Canis lupus familiaris: one gene and its partner. The protein of the gene in region 2 interacts with the protein of the main gene of each other region in a pairwise test. Links are inferred from orthologs where the notes say so. Each region holds a gene or a part of one and is shown on either strand. Other genes may lie near its edges.

What was found.
Region 1: the proteins of SMURF1 (region 2) and WFS1 interact in binary tests that used the Homo sapiens proteins (3 or more experiments, as listed by UniProt). The link is inferred for Canis lupus familiaris from reciprocal best matches to the Homo sapiens genes SMURF1 and WFS1.

What each region holds. Positions count from the first base shown.
Region 1 is NC_049234.1:39,215,641-39,220,688, reverse strand, and holds the end of WFS1 (wolframin), read left to right. Parts: intron 1-582; coding exon 583-2,391; 3' UTR 2,392-2,898; downstream 2,899-5,048. UniProt on the Homo sapiens protein: Participates in the regulation of cellular Ca(2+) homeostasis, at least partly, by modulating the filling state of the endoplasmic reticulum Ca(2+) store.
Region 2 is NC_049227.1:10,555,827-10,562,003, reverse strand, and holds part of SMURF1 (E3 ubiquitin-protein ligase SMURF1), read right to left. Parts: intron 5,382-6,177; coding exon 5,235-5,381; intron 3,960-5,234; coding exon 3,761-3,959; intron 1,989-3,760; coding exon 1,885-1,988; intron 1-1,884. UniProt on the Homo sapiens protein: E3 ubiquitin-protein ligase that acts as a negative regulator of BMP signaling pathway. Mediates ubiquitination and degradation of SMAD1 and SMAD5, 2 receptor-regulated SMADs specific for the BMP pathway.

The DNA.
Region 1 (5,048 bases), on a different chromosome or scaffold from region 2:
CGTCGGGGCTGAGCGTGGGGCAGCACGGCTGCGTGCAGGTGGCGGCCAGTCTGCGGGTCCTCAGGGTCCCGGTCACTAGCCCGCTAGCCCACTAGCCCACTAGCCTGCGTGGCTCCCTTGCCCTCAGGGATGAACCCCGTCCCCCACAGGTCACGCTGGCTGAGCCCTCCTCCTGGCTCCCCACACCCGCTGCCTGCCCGGGGACGGTGCAGAGCCCTCCGCGGGCTCCCCTGCCCTTAGCCGACACAGGGGCAGGGGGCCAGGGGCCGAGGCTCGGGGCACCCTGGTTGCGGGGGGCCCACCCTGACGTGCCTGCGGGTGCTGAGGTCTCCAGGGGACGCTGGCTTGCAGGAGTCTGCACACCCGGCAGGTTGGGACGGGAGGGGGGCCAAGGATGGGCAGCAGAACCTGCAGCTCCGGTGCAGCTGGGGGACGGGCCAAGTGGACCGGAACGCGGGGACCCGCTGGGACCAGGGGACCAGGGGCCCAGGGGTAGTGGGCTCCCGCGGTTGGCAGAGCGCCGAGGGCGACGGGGCTCGGGTCGGCGTGCATCACAGCTGGTGTCCGTGTCCACACCTGCAGATGGTCAAGTACCCGTTGCACGCTGTCATGGAGATCAAGGAGTACCTGATCGATGTGGCCTCGCGGGCGGGCATGCACTGGCTGTCCAGCATCGTGCCCACCCAGCACATCAACGCCCTCATCTTCTTCTTCATCATCAGCAACCTGACCATCGACTTCTTCGCCTTCTTCATCCCGCTGGTCGTCTTCTACCTGTCGTTCGTCTCCATGGTGATCTGCACCCTCAAGGTGTTCCAGGACAGCAGGGCGTGGGAGAGCTTCCGCACCCTCACGGGCCTGCTCCTGCGCTTCGAGCCCAACCTGGACGTGGAGCAGGCCGAGGTCAACTTCGGCTGGAACCACCTGGAGCCCTACGTGCACTTCCTGCTGTCTGTCTTCTTCGTCATCTTCTCCTTCCCCATCGCCAGCAAGGACTGCATCCCCTGCTCTGAGCTGGCCGTCGTGTCCATCTTCTTCACCGCCACCAGCTACGTGAGCCTGAGCTCGTCTGCCGAGCCCTACACCCGGAGGGCCCTGGTGACCGAGGTGGCCGCCGGCCTACTGTCCCTCCTGCCCACCCTGCCCTGCGGCTGGCAGCACCTGAAGCTCCTGGGCCAGACCTTCGTCACCGTGCCCCTGGGCCACTTGGTCGTCCTGAACGTCAGCGTCCCCTGCCTGCTGTACGTGTACCTCCTGTACCTCTTCTTCCGCATGGCGCAGCTGCGGGGCTTCAAGGGCACCTACTGCTACCTGGTGCCCTACCTGGTCTGCTTTATGTGGTGTGAGCTGTCCGTGGTCATCCTGCTCGAGTCCACCGGCCTGGGGCTTGCCCGAGCCACCGTGGGCTACTTCCTCTTCCTGTTCGCGCTCCCCGTCCTGGTGGCCGGCCTGGCGCTCATGGGCGTGCTGCAGCTTGCCCGCTGGTTCCTGTCGCTGGAGCTCACCAAGGTGGCCGTCACTGCGCTGCTGTGCAGCGTCCCCCTGCTGTTCCGCTGGTGGAGCAAGGCCAGCTTCTCGCCGGTGGCCATGGTCAAGTCCCTGACGCGGAGCTCCGTCGTCAAGCTCATCCTGGTGTGGATCACGGCCATCGTGCTCTTCTGCTGGCTGTATGTGTACCGCTCGGAGGGCATGAAGGTCTACAACTCCACGCTCACCTGGCAGCAGTACGGCTTCCTGTGCGGGCCCCGGGCCTGGAAGGAGACCAACATGGCCCGCACCCAGATCCTGTGCAGCCACCTGGAAGGCCACAGGGTCACATGGACGGGCCGCTTCAAGTACGTGCGGGTGACGGAGATCGACAACAGCGCCGAGGCGGCCATCAACATGCTCCCGCTCTTCGTGGGCGACTGGATGCGCTGCCTGTACGGCGAGGCCTACCCGTCCTGCAGCCCCGGCAATGCCTCCACGGCCGCGGAGGAGCTATGCCGCCTGAAGCTCCTGGCCAAGCACCCCTGCCACATCCGCAAGTTCGACCGCTACAAGTTCGAGATCACGGTGGGCATGCCCTACAGTGGCGCCAACGGCTCCCGCGGCCCAGAGGAGGACGACGTCACCAAGGACATCGTGCTGCGGGCCAGCGGCGAGTTCAAGGACGTGCTTCTCGGCCTGCGCCACGGCAGCCTCATCGAGTTCAGCACCGTCCTCGAGGGCCGCCTGGGCAGCAAGTGGCCCGTCTTCGAGCTCAAGGCCATCCGCTGCCTCAACTGCATGGCACAGCTGTCCCCCGCCCGGCGCCACGTGAAGATAGAGCACGACTGGCGCAGCACCGTGCACGGCGCCGTCAAGTTCGCCTTTGACTTCTTCTTCTTCCCGTTCCTGTCGGCCGTGTGAGCCCGTCCCCGCCCGCCTCCCCCGGGCCGCCCAGCTGAGCGTGCGCCTGTGCCCACCGGCCTGCGGACACCTCTGGTCGCCGCCCGTCCCGGGCACCAGCACCACAGGAACTGCCTGCAGCGTTGGGAGTCGACGTGGCCGAGAGCTGGCGGGGAGAGCACCTTCCAGGGGAGGCCCCGCCCACCTGCCCCTTCACTGTCCTGCACCGCTGGCGTCTCTTATTTATTGGGTCACTGCTAAGCTTCGACAGCTGTCTGCCGGAGCGGGGCTGGGGCAGGCAGGGGGCGGGGAGGGGAGGGGCGGCTCTGGGCGCTTGGGGCTCGAGGGTCAGCGTGCAGACGAGGGGCCGATGCACCCAGGATGGGGACTTGGACATGGGAGGCACCCGCGCCGTCCCCTCCTGCGCCGTCCCCGCCCGGCGCTCAGAAGAGTGTGGCCCTGCTCCATGCCGGACACAGAACGTCAAGGTCCAGATGCAGCTGAAATAAAAACACTTCACGAAACCTACTGCTGGTCTTTTCTTTATTTAAAAACACGGTTTTCCTGTACATTGCGGAGAGCAGGTGGCTCGGCCACGCTGATCTCACTGCCACAGTCGCCAGGAGCGGGGCTGACGCTCCCGGTGGCGGGCGACCCCCACCCAGCCCCGGCCAGGGTGCAGCCGGAGGCCCCGCTGCGCTTGGGGCCTGTGGGGTGGGGGGCACGCATGGTCCCGGGGACCCGAGGGGCTCGGCCCTCCTGAGACGGCGCTCGCCTGTGCCCCACGGTCAGGAGCAGACACGCGCTGGCGACACGTCGGTGAGGCCGTGGCCTGTGCTCGCTGCCGCACCGCGATAGAGCCACCTAGGGCGTCGGAGCACGAGGCCGTGCCCCTCGGGTGGGTGCCGTGTCCACGTCCTTCCTGTTTCTTCCCTGACGCGGAGGTCAGGGACCCTGGGGCCTCCCCGCTGTCTGCGCTCGCCTCCGGGCGGCTGCCTCCGGGCTCTGTGGACCCGGCCCATGTGGACGCGGTGCCAGCAGCTGTGCCCCTGCACTAGCTCCGCGTCCCCCAGCGCCTGCTCCCGGGCTCCTCGCCTGCGCAGCCAGACGTGGAAGGTCACACCACCCCCCCCCCCGCCCTGTCCCGGAGCCACAGACTCACGAGGCTGTCTAACACGTCTGCGGTTGGCCTGCCTGGCCCCCCAGGGACCGTCGGGGGGGTGGAGGGGCTCGGCGACCTCATCTGATCCTTGCACTCCATCGGTTGAGAGGGGTCGAGGGACGCCCCCAACGCACAGACACGGCGGGTGCAGAGTGGGGTCATAGGGCACACCAGCAGCGGGGCCGGGGTCACAGAGTCTGTCCCCTGGGCTGCCCCCGGCCCCCAGCGGAGCTGCCTCTTGTGTGCTCTCAGGGCCCAGGCGGGAGGGTTGGACCCCAGCTTCACCACCTCTGTCAAAGCCCCGCAAGACCTGCAGCTGATGGGTCCCGACCCCATACCGTCTCGTCTTTGTCCCGTCCTGTCCCCATCCCCATCCCGTCCCCGTCCTGTCCCCATCCCCATCCCTGTCCCCGTCCTGTCCCCGTCCCCATCCCGTCCCCATCCCCATCCCCATCCCATCTTTGTCCTGTCCCATCCCCATCCCCATCCCTGTTCCCATCCCGTCCCGTCCCCATCCCCATCCCGTCCCCATCCCGTCCCCATCCCATCCCAGACCCATCCCCGACCCATCCCGGACTGCAGAGTGGGCCGTCTGGGCAGGGCCCGGTGCCCAGAACTTACAGGGGACCCTTTGCCTGCTGCACGTGCCACGAAGCCGCAATGCACAGAGCGATGGGTGTTGGCGTCAACTCAGGTGGGTCCCCACGACCTGCTGCGAGCCCCAGCCTGCGCCTGCCCCTGCACACCGGGCTCCGGCAGGCCCAAGCGTCCCCCGCCTCTCCCTCGAGGCCTCACCACGCGACCTGTGGGGTCCCCTCCAGCTTTTTAAGAAAGTGACCCTGGGGCACCAGGGCGGCTCAGTCGGTGAGGCATCCAGGTGTCCCCTGGGGTCCTGGGATCCAGGCCTGAGGTGGGCTCCGCACTCAGCGCTCCCCTCCCTCCCCCCTCCCCCTCCCTCCCCCCTCCCTCTCTCCCCCTTCCAACCCGTCTCCCCCTCTCTCCCTCCTCCTCCCTCACTCCCTCTTCCTCTCCCTCTCTCCCCTTTCCTCCCCATCTCCCCTCCCTCCCCCTCTCCCTGTCCCTCCTCCCTCCGTCCCTCCCCCTGCCCCCTCCCTCCCCCTCCCCCTCCCCCTCCCCCTCTCTAATAAATGAAATGTCAAGGAAAAAAACCACTTTACAGAATAACAGTGTTTGGGTTGGGACTGAGCCGAGTGGGCCTGCGTCCATGAGCCGGCGCATCCCGGCAGCCCGGCCCCGGGACCCCAGGGCGCAGGCCCGCCTCCGGGCTGCATCACGGGATCCGATCCTCGGTTGCATCCAGAAAAGCTGGGACACGTACAACAGGCTTTGTCCAGCGTCACTGAGGAGCCCTGAGTACTGTCCTCGCCACCCACGAGCAAATATTTACCCCGCAGTGATGCTGGGCAGAGACCCTGACCCCACCTGTGCGTCAGGCCCGGGGCCCACCCCCAGGGGCGTCACGTGGTCGGGTGTCTGTGCCCCAAGTGGGGGGGGA
Region 2 (6,177 bases):
CCACACAGGGCCAGATGCTAGCAGCCTAGGTATCTGGTGGTGGTAAGGAAATACTCTTTACTTCTGTGTCCTCAGAGCAAGAGGAACCAAAGTCTGCAGCTGGGAGTGAAGGTGGGTGGGAGCGAGGGAGAGGTCTGAGGAAGAGCGTAGTGGGGATGCAAGAGAAGCAGAGAGAAACATGGCAGGGAAGCATCTTCCTCCAGCCACCCTCTGCTGCTCAGGAGAGGCTCAGTGGCCCCAGGACGGACCTTTCGGAGCTGAGGTTCTACTGGCCAAGCACAGCCAATGGAAAGAGAAGTGAAGGAGTGGCTGTGGTGGTGGATGGCATGTAAGGAGGAAGGATGGGAAGGGGGTGTAAAAGAGAAAAAAGGTAGTAGATCCTGGATGACAGGTGGTCCTGGGTGGAGCTAAATAACTTCTGGTGAAGGAAGGCCTAAAATCAGACTGTCCTCAGACCACAGCTCAGGAACACCCGGTGCTGGAAGACAGGACAGCAGTGCCTTCAAAGCTCTGAAGCAAAGTTATTTTCTTCCTAGAAGTCTATAAAAAAATCAATCTATCAGTCAAAATGACAATTAACAGATATTTTCCGTAAAACCTTGGAAGATTTGCCTCCCACAGGTCTTTTCTAAGAAAGCTACTTAAGAATAGACTCTGGTAACATGAGAGAGAAAACCAAGGAAGAGAAAGCTGTGAGATCCAAAAAGCAAAGCTCTAGCCCAGAAAAAGCAGCGAAGCCCCAAGACGACAACTGTGCAGAAGGCCTAGAGAGCCAGGGCTGGATGGTCTCCATGACAGAGACACAGAAAGGAAGGGAGGTGTGGGGGATAGCAAAAGATGAAGCTTAATGGGGCCGTAAAGACAAAGCCTGCTTTTTTAGAAAAGAAGACAAACATGAATAAATCCTTGGAGAAATTAAAATTTGTTCAAAAGGCTAAAATAAATTATGAAATACCACCTAAGCCCTCAGTGAACAATATTTACGTAGTCATAACAGTACAAACAATGTACTGATTTTCAACTCTTAAAAATAATAGGCCAACATGCACAGGATACAGAACAGTCTAGAAACCTTACACCTCTACACTGTGAAAGTATGATGGATGCCAGAACATAGGAGGTAAAGGGGGAAGGACTTCTGAAGGGGAAGTCAGGAGTATTTATATCCCTTTTGCTTATGAAAATGAGGTCAAGAGATATCGTTTCCAGTTGACAAACCAAAAATAATGATGAAAACACATCATGTAAAGTTACAAAGACAATGAAAGAAGATCTACAAATTGTGACAGCACCAAATTAGGAATGGAAAGTATTAAATTAGATCTCACCACAAGCATTATCATCTATCTGTGTCTATGACCATATACATAGTCAATGCATAATGTCTGAACTTGGTCAATTTAGTGATACAATATTACCTATTAGAAGAAATAGTTAAAAGAGCAAAAAAGGCAGTTGTCTCAAAGGTGTAATGAGGTAGGATGGGAAATAGCAGCTTTTCATTTTTCTATTTTTAAGATCATGTGCAGGAATTCTTTTGACCAACATAGCATTTTGCAAAATTCCTTTGAAACAAGTGCCCCAAAAGTCCTCTCCTGAGAAGAGCAAGGCTGCCTCCCACCCAGACTAATTTCAGGAGCAGGTCCCTCGTGTTTCAGGTGTGGAGCTGTCAGATAGAGTGGAGGGGCGGGGGTGGGGGTTTGAAAAATTTAAACCTCTCTTTCCAAGAAATAAAGTGTGGCTCTGCCACACCCTCATTGCCAGAAGCGCTGAAGGCCACGTGGGAGTCCTGATCACCCCAGGACAAGCGCCTCCCCGAAAACCTCCCATCCGGGCAGTGCAGCGCCCCATGGAGCAGAAAGTGGGATTGACCCAGCCCCTCACCTTGCCACTCCGCCATAATCCAAACCTTCTTCTCCCCGGAACTTCACCATCAGCCGCTTCTTCAAATCCTTAGGCCGCATCTTCATGATCTGGCGGTAAGATTCCTGCTCGGCAAAATGACAGCGTCAGAGAGAGGAACAGGTGGCATTAAGTTACAGTTACAAAAAGGTGAAAGGTTGTCAGATGAAGCCTGAATTAGGATGCATATTCATTTAAATCCGAGTTCACTCTGGTTCCCTATCAGAGCGTTGATTTGGTGTCTAGTGTCCCATGTAGCTTATGCAGTGGCTCCTGTCACCAGATCTCCCCGGGTCTCCCTCAGAAACAAGGCAGCTGGTGCCAGGCAACACCACACCGAAAGGACACTCACAGACTCATTCTCAGCATAATCACTAAAGGCTTCAGAGCACACATCCTCCCTAGAGCCCATGTTCTCCACACAAATTAATTTTAATGTGGCCATACTAAGAACAGCTTCTTTATTTTAACCAACATGAAGATGTCACTAGAGAATCTGAATAGTAAAAACATTCTAAGCCTGTTTTTATATCTGAGGTGAAGAACCACATGATTTCCACAGAGTCAAAAAAGCAAAAGAAGGGTTTTAGTAAGACATACAGTAGCTTACCCAAAACACAGAGAACAGGTGGCCAGCCCAGCCTGCCCCCAGATTCAGCATTTTGAGTGGAACTAGCTGAATGTTTGTAGACATTTTCAATGATAAGGCACTTGAGAATCTTTTCATGCTTTAAATTTAATGTAATTCAAGCTCTGGCATCCCAAGAGGGAAAGAGGATGCTGAGTAGAATGATCTGGCAGCAACATGTCAATAATTCAGCTCTTTTCTCTCCCCAGCAACCAGTTAAGACTGCTCAACGGCCATTTTGGCCGATTCCTCCATTCGCCCAACACTGGAACACAGGCTAACCCTGGGCATTTCCTCAGTACCCATCACCATGAAGGCCGTACTGGGCTCCCCAAGCCACAGTCCTCACCCTTGTGCCCCTCCTCCTGCTGCTGCAGCCCAGTAGGATCTGCGTTCAGGCCCTATCCAGTCTCCTTTGATCACTTCTGCCAATGATGCCACAAAGGCAGGCCAGATATGGCCCAGATGAAGGTAGAATCGTGGAGATTCTACCTTCCGATCATCTTCCTGGAGTAAAGGGCCCCGTCTACAAGAGGGTCCCGCCTGGTTGGTGGCCTTGATCCCTCCGAGGAGCTGTATGAAGGACAGAACCCTTCCCAGGACCCAGCTGATCTTCCTTATTTCCTGAAAACACAATGTAGTGGCCATTTGGTCCCTAAGCTGCTCTGAGGAGGCCATGCCAATGGATGAAGCTCTGTGCAAGGGCAATAGAAGGAATGACTGGTTCTGAAGAAACCAGGCAGATTTTGGGAATGTGTATCTGCACAGAGCAGGTAAGAGGATTTCCAGGATTTTTTTTAATACTTTATTTATTCATGAGAGACACACAGAGAGAGAGGCAGAAACACAGGCAGAGGGAGAGCAGGCTCCACACAGGGAGCCCGACATGGGACTCGATCCCCAGACTCCGGGGATCACAATGCCCTGAGCTGAAGGCAGACACTCAACCAATGAGCCACCCAGGTGTCCCAACAGGATTATTTAGTACTAGTTTCGGTGTAAATCTTTTTATTTTCACTTTAGAGGCTCTTGAGCTTTTCAGCTTTTCAACTTCCACCACAAGAGGAAATACGGTCTGTTTCTCTGTGTGACCACTGGTCCTGAAAAAGCCCTGGAATTCACTGAGTAATAAAATCAAGGCCTGAAACACCCAATAGAAAGGAGAATGCACTGTTTGTAAACAGGGATGAAGAATCTGTGCCTCACTGCTGGTCACACCAAATTCCATACCTCAAATATTTCTTCTCTGGATACTTCGATACGGCAATGGCCGGCTTGGGGCTGCTGAAGTGAAAGCTCATGTCTGAGCACCTTCAGCTTCTGCACTAAATCTCGTTCATATCTCTGGGCAGGCAGCTCCTCATCTTCCACGGAGCCCTCGCTGGGCAAAGGCAGTGGCTGGCTGGGCTCCTTTAGTTGGCACTGGTGACTGGAAAGAACAGAAGCATCTAGGTCACTCCAAAGCAGCAGCCAAGGGAGCTGCAAGCAGCGCCCCCCACACTGAGTGACTGAACTGCGAGAAGAAATGTTCTCTCTGCTGATATAACCATACATGAAGATGTGTAAACACTGACAGTGGCCACCACTGGCCTACATAGAGAGGTCTAGATACGGCCTAAATAAAGAAGATACCCCAATTCCACGCAACTGCTCATCCCATACATTTTCAGTGCTATAAAGAAAAGCATAAATTGCAATCATTTATCACGCATCTGGTATGTATCTGTGAGACTGACCAACGTGTAGTTGGTGAGATGTGCCTTGGTGGCTAGGATTACATGGAGCTGACGTGAGAAATTTCATAAGCAGATTATCATAAAGGGGCAAACAATGCCAGTGCAATATAATGGAAACCATTCCTCATTTTCACGACCCAGGCATTTCTAAGCTCACTCAGAAAATTCTGGTAGAATCAAGGACTAGGGATAGTAGAGGGATGAAGTGGCATTTGTCTTGTTCAGGTTCTGCCACCAAGGTCAGCTGTCAATGAAAAGGGCTAATGTGGGCTCTTAGGTTCTAGAGAACACAACAAACCCAGAACACTGAACATGGGATCCCAGATAACTTTCAGTTCCAAGTTGTCCCAGAATGATGGGCATAGGACAAGGTTCCAGGGAGGAGCATTATGGACTGTAGCAGCCCTTCCAGGTGGTGACGAGCAGGCACTAAGGAAAAGCCTAATTTCACTGCCCCTCGCTCTAAGGGCCACCAACTCCCTCAGAGAACTGCATGACGGAAGCTTCAAGAATGGAGCTGTACTGTCTAATACTGCCCTCTCAGTGAATTTTATTTAGGCTGCAAGCAATAAAAGGTGGCCAACAATACAGCTTCAGAACTACTCATGGCTTTTTTTATTTTTTAAAAAATTTATTTACTTATTTGAGAGTGAGAGAGAGAAAGCATGAGCAGGGGGAGGGGAGAGGGAGAAGCAGAACCCCTGCTGAGCAGGGAGCCTGATTCCAGAACCCTGGGATCATGACACGAGCCAAAGGCAGAGCCACCTGAGCCAACTGAGCCAACCAGGCACCCACAGAACTGCTCACAGTTTACTGAGAGTTTGAAATGCATATCTGCCCACCAAATATTTATATTTTACTTATTCTCCACTAACAAACCATGCAGTAGGTACATTAAGAGAAATATTAGTAGAAAACATGAAATTATAAATGTAAAAGATCAACAAAGATTTTGTAAAAAGTCTTACTTCATGATGTGATGTAATCTTGGGTCTGTAAACTGGGTTGTCCGGTTATTATGATCTACAAAATATATTCTCCCCGAAACTGTACTTCTGACTTCCCAACCTGGTGGCAGTGGTCCAAGTTCATCACAATTCACACTGTTAAGGTCTCTACCAAAATGGAAGAAAACAGAGAGGTTTGTCCATCTGAGAGTGGAGGTATACGACCAAAACTTCAGTGAGAGGAACCTGGTCAATGCGGCTGTGTTCTGCTAAGAACAACAGTCATGGTGCTACTTACATGCCAAAGTCCTACTGAGTCCAGGCCTCCATGCTGCAAGTGGCAGCAACACCCGAGAGATAAAAATGAGGCTTTCAGAGCCTACAACCATGAGGGAACCTGGTCCCCATCTTCCCCCAGGTCCCACCTAGGGAAGAGCATTTCTTACACGAAAGAGGGCCAAGTAGCTGGAAATAGCTGATTGCTGTCAGAAAACTATTTGAATTTACAAGCTAAATTAAATGCTCAAGGTCACAAAGGTATCTTCACTGAAAAGCTCCCAGAAGCACAAGTTTAAAGTTCCAGGGGACTTATGAAATGCCTTCGAAATCTCCCATTTCTGAGCAGATGCAGCGGAAAGCGGCATTCTCATGCTTTACTGGGCTTTGTTACACAAATGTTTCTGATTCTGACCTCTCGGTTAGTGAGGTCAGTCCAGTCCAGTCACATGGGAGCAGATCATCACTGACCAAGTCACTTGTCTAATTAGCCCAACACCTGACATTTCCTACAGTGGGTACTAATGAGACACCTCATTCATTTGCAGGTAATATTTCTATTCTAATTATAGATACTGAATCTTAAACTTAATAGAGACTCGGGAAGTCAGTGACAGGAAGCTTGTTCTCAATCAAACAAATTATGAAGAGAAAGGAAAGGAGCATTACTAAAAATGTTATTAGGTAG